2 linked regions of the Struthio camelus genome follow. The protein of the gene in region 1 purifies or fractionates together with the protein of each later gene. This does not show direct contact. Links are inferred from orthologs where the notes say so. Each region holds a gene or a part of one and is shown in the gene's direction. Other genes may lie near its edges.

Region 1 (3,902 bases):
CATGTTCCCTCTCTCTTGAAGGCAAGGCTGTTTCCCAGCATCCTGCTGCACAGAGGAGAGATCTGTGGCTGTCAAGACCCTGAGTGCATCTCTCCCCTACCCCCTCCTCCTCTCACCACCATCGTGTTTGTCTGCCAGGGCTTACAGCCAATTTTTGTATGCAACTTTCTGGTCTTGAAAAGCTTCAGTGAGTGCTTGCCCCTCTTTCTCTCCCAAGCTGCTTTAAAACTCAGGCTCTAGCCCTTGGTGTCTGCCTGAGCTATGCTGCAGGTATGCCTGTCTGTACCGTCCCTGATCCTCTCCCACTAACATGACTTTCTGGCTTGAGCTACCATGTCACTACAGGCTTGCCTGGCTTAACTGTTGATGGACCTGCTCTGCTCTGCTCTGCCCTTTTTTGGAGCCCTGAACTTTATCTGCTAGAAGGGGAACTATGCAGCAAACGGGACTTTGGCCCGAGAACGTCATTCTGTGGGTGCACCTGGCAGAACACAGAGTCGGTGCAGCGGTGCTCCTCCTCAGAGGTGTCCTTCGTCGGAGGTGCAGTTGCCATGGTACTGGGAACTCATGCTGCAGCATCTCAACAGAGGAGCAGCTCGGTAAGGGCTCTGGAGCCACACTGCAGCGTGCTGCTCTGTAGAGGTACCGTAACCATGGCAGTGCAAACCTCTGCAGAGAGGTGTGAATCACACAACAGTTCAGCACCGGTGCTGGGAGCTGCAGCGTGACAAGGCGTGCGGTTCTTCACGGTATTTGTAGCTGCAGCACGGCAAGATTTCATGGCAGAGCTGGCTGTAGTACGGAAACCCTCGTGTAGGCTTTCCAAAAGAAGTTTCAGTTGCAGCGCAGTCCTGGGATGAAAAGTGTGTAGCTCACCACCTCCCAAAGCACAGCATACAGGATGCTAGAGATACCCAGGTACTAGGCTCCTACTTTCTCCCGCATGCCCAGAGAAAGTGCAACAAGACCCACAGATGAGTGGTACCTCCACCCCCACAGAGGGCTTGGCCGGGCAGCTAGGACAGCGAGCCCATTTCAGGAGAAGGCCGCAGCGGGCAAGTTTACTGCCAAGCAAATGGCCAATTTACCGCCAACGCTGGTACATGTTCGTGGCTCTCGCTTTCCCTCCCTCCTTCCCTCGCCCTTTCCGACCAGGTTCTCGCTGCCCGCCGCGCTCAGCGCCCGCGGCCCCGCCCCAGCGGCCCCGCCCCAGAGGCCCCGCCCCAACGGGCCGCGCCTCGCGCCCCCGCCCGCCCCCTCCGCCCTTCCCGCCGGCTGCGCGCGCAGAGCGGCTCCCAGCCGGGGCGGGAGCTGGCGCGGCCGGCGTGCGCATGCGCGGCGGCGGCGGCGGCGGCGGCGGAGGAGGAAGCGGGCCGAGGGGTGGGGGCAGGCGGGACGCGTCGGCATGGCGGAGGCGCGGCCCAGCGCAGGTGAGCGCGCCCGCGCTGCTCGGGGGCAGCCGGCGAAGCGGCCGGTGGGGCCGCTCCCCTGCGCCCCGCTGCGATGCGGTGGGGCGAGGGGCCGAGCCGCGGGGTGGTGGGGGGCGCCGGGGCTGCGCGCGGCACCACCTGTTAGCGGCGCCCCGGCCCCGGCCGGCCGCGGCTCTGCGGGGCCGCTGGGGCGCCAAGCGGCTGAGGCGCGGCGTGCGCCCGGGAAACTCGGGCTGAGAGAAACGTGCGCGTTTGTAGCGTGTAACGCGCAGGCGGGAACGCCGGAAAATACCGAGGCTCCGCCGGTCTGGAGAACTCACTGCCGCCTCCCTCTCCGTCCCGTCCCCCCCCGCCCCGGCGGCGCAGCTCGCCCGGCGGTGGGGTGACCCGCCCCACGGCCGCGGGCTCCTGTGTAACTGCGCTGCCTGCGGCGCTGGCGCCCGGGAGCGACAGTCGCGGTGGCTGCTGCCCGGCGGCTCGGCGGTGCCCTCCGTGGCGCGCAGGGCACCGGCAGAGCGGGTGCCGCCTGCCCAGAGCGGATGCGGTCGAGGGCTGGAGGGTGAGGAGGGGCCGAGGTGTCCAGCCCGGGGTGCCACTGAGCACCGCAGGCGGGGCAAAGGAGGTTTTTTTGGTTTTGCTTGCTGGTTCCTTAGGGTGGGGGTGACCTTCGTTTTACTGGGTGCAGCTGCAGAGCGGGAGGTTCCAGCCTCACATCTCATGACTTCTCGTGCGTTACGGGCACGAAGAACCCTTGTGCGGTTATGTCTTGGGTGTGTAACTGGAAGTGACATGGTTGCCTGAAGTGACTCATGATGTTTAGTGTTTTCATCATATCTCCTGGTTTTTCTTGCAGTCCAGGTGGACTTCTCAGATAATCAGTGTCACTTTGCATTCACTCGCTGGGCTGATTCATTTCGTTGTTGGTATGGCTATTAGGTTTCTTGCAGAAAGAGTTCTGGACTTTTGCGGTGGGGGGAGGAGAAGGCGAGATGCAGCTCTGCTTTGGGCAGCATTGTGAAGTTAATTCAGCTTAAGGATATCATTAAGCTGTGTCCTGTATAGACTCCCCTGTCTCTTCTTTGATCTTAGCAGCCAGGCTATGAAAAAGTGAAAGTCATTGGAGGTCATTTTTGGTAGGACAAGAATGGGACCGTAGCTTTCTTGGGGGAAGTGGAATAGCCTGGGACGTCGATCAGAGAAAAGACTGATAGTTTCAGTAAAGAGGAGCTGGTGCAGGCAGCTGTCTGCTTTGTCTGTTTATCTTCCATGCTGTCAGGCTGTGAGTCAGCTCCGATCCTGAAGCCTTTTATGCAGTGCACAGGCACTGGTAGAAAGAGCCTTAAATAGGTAAACAGAGCTTTACTGAAAAATTAGTCTGGTTAGTACACCCTTGCTACATCTTGCTTTATAACGCACAAGCTAGCACAAGTATCACCACATGGCATTAAATTATGGAATTTACTCCTTGTTATGGTAGTATATAAAATAAAATGTTATGCAGGCCTGTCTCTTAGGTAAGTTTGAATCTGTGCTTGTGCTATGTTAGGGTTGGGACTAGCTTTTGCCCTTCAAATTCATGGACAGAGCGGGTTTATGATTTTGAGAGCCTCAGCATGAAAGATATTTCTGGTCACAGAATAGGTAAGGGGAAGCGGTTGAGATCTAAGAATGGCTGTTTTGGACCATTGCAGATGTACAGCTTGTCCAGGATATTTTGCTAATAGTGTAATAGCTATTGATACCCAAGAGAAGAATAAGAGAAATACGGCAATTACAGAATTATTATTCACCTAGGTATACCTTTCCAGCCTGGTACATTTAGAGGGGACACCCCAAGTGAGAGGCTATATTTGCATTTAACAGCTGCGAGTTGACCTTTCTTCTGTCAGTTGTTGTTGCTTCTGAATGTGGTTATGGTTTTTTTCCTCCACAGTGCTGTTAGTAACTGGGTTCTGTGTTTCGCATGCAATGCAGCATTGGGCATGATGCATGAAGGTATCGGGGAGCTGCTGTAAAGCACTGACCGCCCTACTGCAAGGATGAGCAGGAAAAGGAAGATGCGTGTTACATTTAGTTTCCTTATGCAAAATCCATTCTGTAGTAGGTACTTCATGTCCAGCTGATGAAGCTACTTCTGGTGAATCTGTATTTCTTATCCATACCTCATATTTCTCTGATGTCCTCTTGAAATGGGCTTGCCAAAACTTCATGCTTTATTCACATTATAGGTGTGCTGGATTTGGACAGTAACATGATGATGGTTCTGTTTGTTATTCCTTCTTTAATAACTTCTGACAAGAGTTGCAGAAAGGGAGCGTTTCTTTTATTACATGAGCTGTTACAGTTGGAATAAACAGGCAGGCAGATTGTTTCAGGCCTAAAGAATCAGCAGTGCAACCTGTCTTTGTGTGGAAGAGTGAGACTCATGTCGAGGAAGAAATCCAACCTTTTGTAAATCTGTGTTGAACGTGA
Region 2 (3,902 bases), on another chromosome or scaffold:
TACACACTGCTCCGGAGGAAGGTTCATCAGCGCTCTCTGTAATGGGGTAGAGCTTCTCTGATGCATCCTAGACTCACCCTTGTCTTTTTCATGTTTTCTGACCATGCGATGGACTCATCCTATGACCCATCTCCCACCAGCTAACTTTGCTAGCCAGCTACTTTAATTCCTCCACATTTGCCCTCCTGAACCGAGGGCCATCGTTTCAAACTTCCTCTCGCCAACCTTCCACTGAAGTTGAAACAATCCGCAGTCATCCGATCCAACGTTATTTTTTGTGACTCCGCAGGTGAAGAGAAGGTTGGACAAAACCAAACCTGAGAGATCACGCCCTTTTCTTGGTTCAGGATGAAGCAACTTGTCAGCTATCGCATTCAGAAGTATCCGAGCCTTACCGCAAGCGGCAGCGTTCGCTCTCCGGTCTACAGCTGGGCAGCTGCAACTGCCTAACAACAAAATTCCCAGTTGTGTTTCTAGTAACATTAGAGAGATCATTATTCATTGCCAAATCTGCTGCTGGTAGCCTAGAATAAACTCATAACACAACTGTGGCGCAACCATTGGGGGGAATTATTTCAATCTGAGCCGACCCAAACTGCTGTACCTATTTCTTCGCTGTCTACCACATCGTGACCATTTAATGCTGGCGTACAACCTTTATTCCTGCGACGCCTCCGACGGGAACCGACGGCGTTTGCTTTCACCCCATTTATTAGTCATACAACAAGAGGCCTTACATGCCCCGGTAGTTCACATTCCCCTATTTTCTTGCAGAGGCTCTGGGCGTCTGCCCCCCCCGGCACGGGCAGGGCCGAGCCGCGGCGGGTGCCCTCGGCGCCCCCCCGGGAGCCGCCGCCGGCGGGCAGCAAGCAGGGCCCGGCCGTCTGCGCCGGGCAGCCGGGACGGAGCCCGGGGGGGGGAAGGGGAAGGGGGGCAGGAAGCGGCAGTGCGCGGAGTGGGCCGGGCCGGGCCACCTCCGCGCCACCGCGGCGCGGCCCCTTTAAGCGCCCCCCGCGCCGCCGGGCGTTGCATCAGGCACGTGCGCGCGGCCGGCCGGTCGGGCGGCGGGCGGGGGCGCGCCCCGCCCCTCCCCGCCCCTCCGCTCCCTTCCCTTTCCCTCCGCTCGCCGGTGGCGCGCGCGCGCGTGCGCGCGGGCCGGGGCGGGCCGGGCCGGGGCGGCGCGCGCCCCCGCGGCAGTCGCGTGGTCCCCGCGCGTCTCCATATTGCTGCGGCTGCCTCGGCGGCACGGGGGGGGGGAGGGCGGGCGGCGGCGCGGCTCGGGGGGCGCCGTGAGCGAGGGGAGTTCCCCGGCGGGGCGGGGGCGCGCAGATGGCGACGCAGGTGGAGGCGCTGCTGCCCGGCGCCCCGCTGCTGCCCGCCGAGGAGCGCGCCCTGGTGCTGAAGCCGCCGCAGGACGGCGGCCGGGAGAAGGGCGAGCCGCCCATGGGCCCCGACGGCGGCCCCGCGGCGCCGCGGCCGCCCAGCGCCAAGCAGCAGAAGGAGGAGAGCAACAACCAGGAGAAGGAGAGCCTGCTGCGGGCGGGCGGCGGCGCCGAGGCGGAGGAGGGCGGCGAGCCGGGCGGCGCGGGGCGCCGGGAGTTCATCGAGGCCCCGCCGCCCAAGGTGAACCCGTGGACGAAGAACGCCCCCGCGGCCGTGCTGACGGTGAACGGGCAGTCGCCTCCAGGTGGGTGCCGCGGCCGCCGGGGGGGGGGGGAGAGGAGGAGGAAGGGGGGGGGAGCTGCGCCGCCGACCCCACCCCGCCCCGGCCGCCCGCCCGCGCCATGCGGCACGGCGTGGGGACGGCGCGGCCCGCGGCGCCGGGGCGGGGGGCGCCCCGCGTGTCAGCCCGGTGGCCGGCGTGTGTGCGTGCGGGGTGGGGGGAGCGCCGCTCCCGGGAAGTAGGAAGCGTTGGAGCCTGCCGTAGCCATGAGGCGCGCGGAGCGTGGGCGAGGGGGAGGGGAGCGCGGCGCGGCCCGGGCAGTGGCCATGCGGCTCCGAGGCCGGGGGCAGGGGCGGCGGGGCCGGGGGGGGGCGGGAGGGAGCTGAGGGCTCGGCGGCGCCGCGGCGAACGTTACGGGGCCGCGGCGCCAGCGGCCCGGCCGCGTTCCGAACGTTCCGAGCGCCGGCGCGTGTGCGCGCGCGCGTGAGCGCGTGTGTGTCTGTGTCTGTGCGCGCGCGCGCCGCGGCGGCGGCGGCGGCCTCCCCTTCCCAGCATTCCGCCGCAGCGCAGGCAACGTGGTTGCTTCCCCGGCTCGCTGCGAGCATGTGATTTCCCCCGAGTGCGCGGCGGGGCCTCCCTGCTGCGCTCCCCGCCCCGGGAGGCGGCGGCGGGGCCCGGCCCGGCTCGGCTCGGCCCGGCCCGCGGCGCCCATGTGCTCGGCGCCCTGCCCACGTGTGCGCCCCCCCCCTCCCCCCCGCGGCCGCGCCTAGGCCGCGGCGGCGCCTTTCTCTGCCGATTCATGGCCGCGGGTGGGCCGGGGGTGGCCGCGGCTCTGCCCTTCCGCGCCGGCTGGCGTGAGCGCTGCAGGGCGGCTTAAAAGCTGCTCTGTAGCAGTGCCCGCTGCGGCGCTGTCATGGTATCGGGGCCTTCCTCGCGGCGCTGGGCCGCTTCGGGCAGCGTTCAGCGGGAGCGAGTCAAAGCGGTACGGGACAAACGGTGCGTTTGTAGTCCGCCGCTGTTTTAAGCGGAGGCTGAATTTGCAGAACACCATTTCCTTGTTAGTTGAGTAGATGTCATTTTTACCGAGAGGGATTGCCTAGCACCGACTCACTCCACATGGGTGCGAGAGGAAAACACGGAAGTTTTCGGTGAACATCTTGTTTGGGAAAGACTCTTAATTTTTCCAGTCAGCCTCTGTAAACACGAAATAACACTGCCAGATATGACGTCAGATTTCTCGTTACTGTATGTGCTAGCGTTTTGCAAGAACTGAGACTAACATGATGATTCATTGGAGGTACTGGTTTTTGGAAGATGGACAGCTCTGTGATTTCCACCTGGAAAGCTGTCATCTTACATGGGGAAAATAGAGGATACGTTAATTGTGCCAAGTGAAAGTCTGTTCAGGTAGGTTTTTGGTCTGTCATCGTATGCAATGATGTAAGCATAACTTAACAAAACCTAGAGCAGTTTGCTGTTTACGTTTGCCTCTTGGTGCGTGACATAAAGCCGGTGACGTTACTCCTTTACGCAAAAGTGAGGCTGCATCACGCTGCTTTCTGGAGTAACGTTCCCTAGAAATAAACCAAAAGGTTCAAAAATGCTGTATAATACAGGATGCTGAGGAGTTGAGGGCTGGTGTCTTTCCGGTTCTGTTTATTCCATACGTCATCATGGCGTGTCTCATCTACATCTACAACATCTACTGAGTTACAGTATCTTTTTTGTTTCTCACTGTTAAAATTACATATTTCTATTTAACATTAGGTAAATACAGATGTGCTCTCTGTGTCCCTTTCTACCTTTCTGTCTTGTATGTTCCTATTTGAGGCTTTAACGCTCATGTTTAAAGCTCATAGAGGACAGCATTCTGTTACCAGGCCCCTTGCAAAGCTGGGAGAACGCGGCGATAGAGGCTGAATGAACGGTAGGAGCTCTGTCAAACGCTGAGTTGAAGAGGAGGGGGTCTTTGCGACTTAGGAGGCGATTTTTAAGGGGAGCATGTGTGCCTTACGGTGAGGTAAGGAAATAATCTCGCAACACCTAGAATTCTGTTGGGCTTGACAGAAGTGTCCCAGTATTCCCGAAGGTGTTTAAATAATGGAATTGATTAGTGGTGCGTTTGTGATGCTTGGCAGCAATGTCTGGTTCATACACTGCTGCCCTAGACGCTGCTGCTTGGCTCTCTTGCGCTGGGGGCTTTGTTTCTTTTGCTGCCTGTTTCGTTAGCAGAGAAGAA

The links.
Region 2: the proteins of NFX1 (region 1) and LARP1 purify together in Homo sapiens (affinity purification with mass spectrometry, with the first as the bait; 3 studies listed by BioGRID). This does not show direct contact. The link is inferred for Struthio camelus from reciprocal best matches to the Homo sapiens genes NFX1 and LARP1.

The regions. Positions count from the first base shown.
Region 1 is NC_090943.1:78,971,895-78,975,796, reverse strand, and holds the start of NFX1 (transcriptional repressor NF-X1), read left to right. Parts: upstream 1-1,335; 5' UTR 1,336-1,405; coding exon 1,406-1,430; intron 1,431-3,902. UniProt on the Homo sapiens protein: Binds to the X-box motif of MHC class II genes and represses their expression. May play an important role in regulating the duration of an inflammatory response by limiting the period in which MHC class II molecules are induced by interferon-gamma.
Region 2 is NC_090954.1:12,071,374-12,075,275, reverse strand, and holds the start of LARP1 (la-related protein 1), read left to right. Parts: upstream 1-1,314; 5' UTR 1,315-1,329; coding exon 1,330-1,687; intron 1,688-2,975; exon of another isoform or gene 2,976-3,070; intron 3,071-3,902. UniProt on the Homo sapiens protein: RNA-binding protein that regulates the translation of specific target mRNA species downstream of the mTORC1 complex, in function of growth signals and nutrient availability.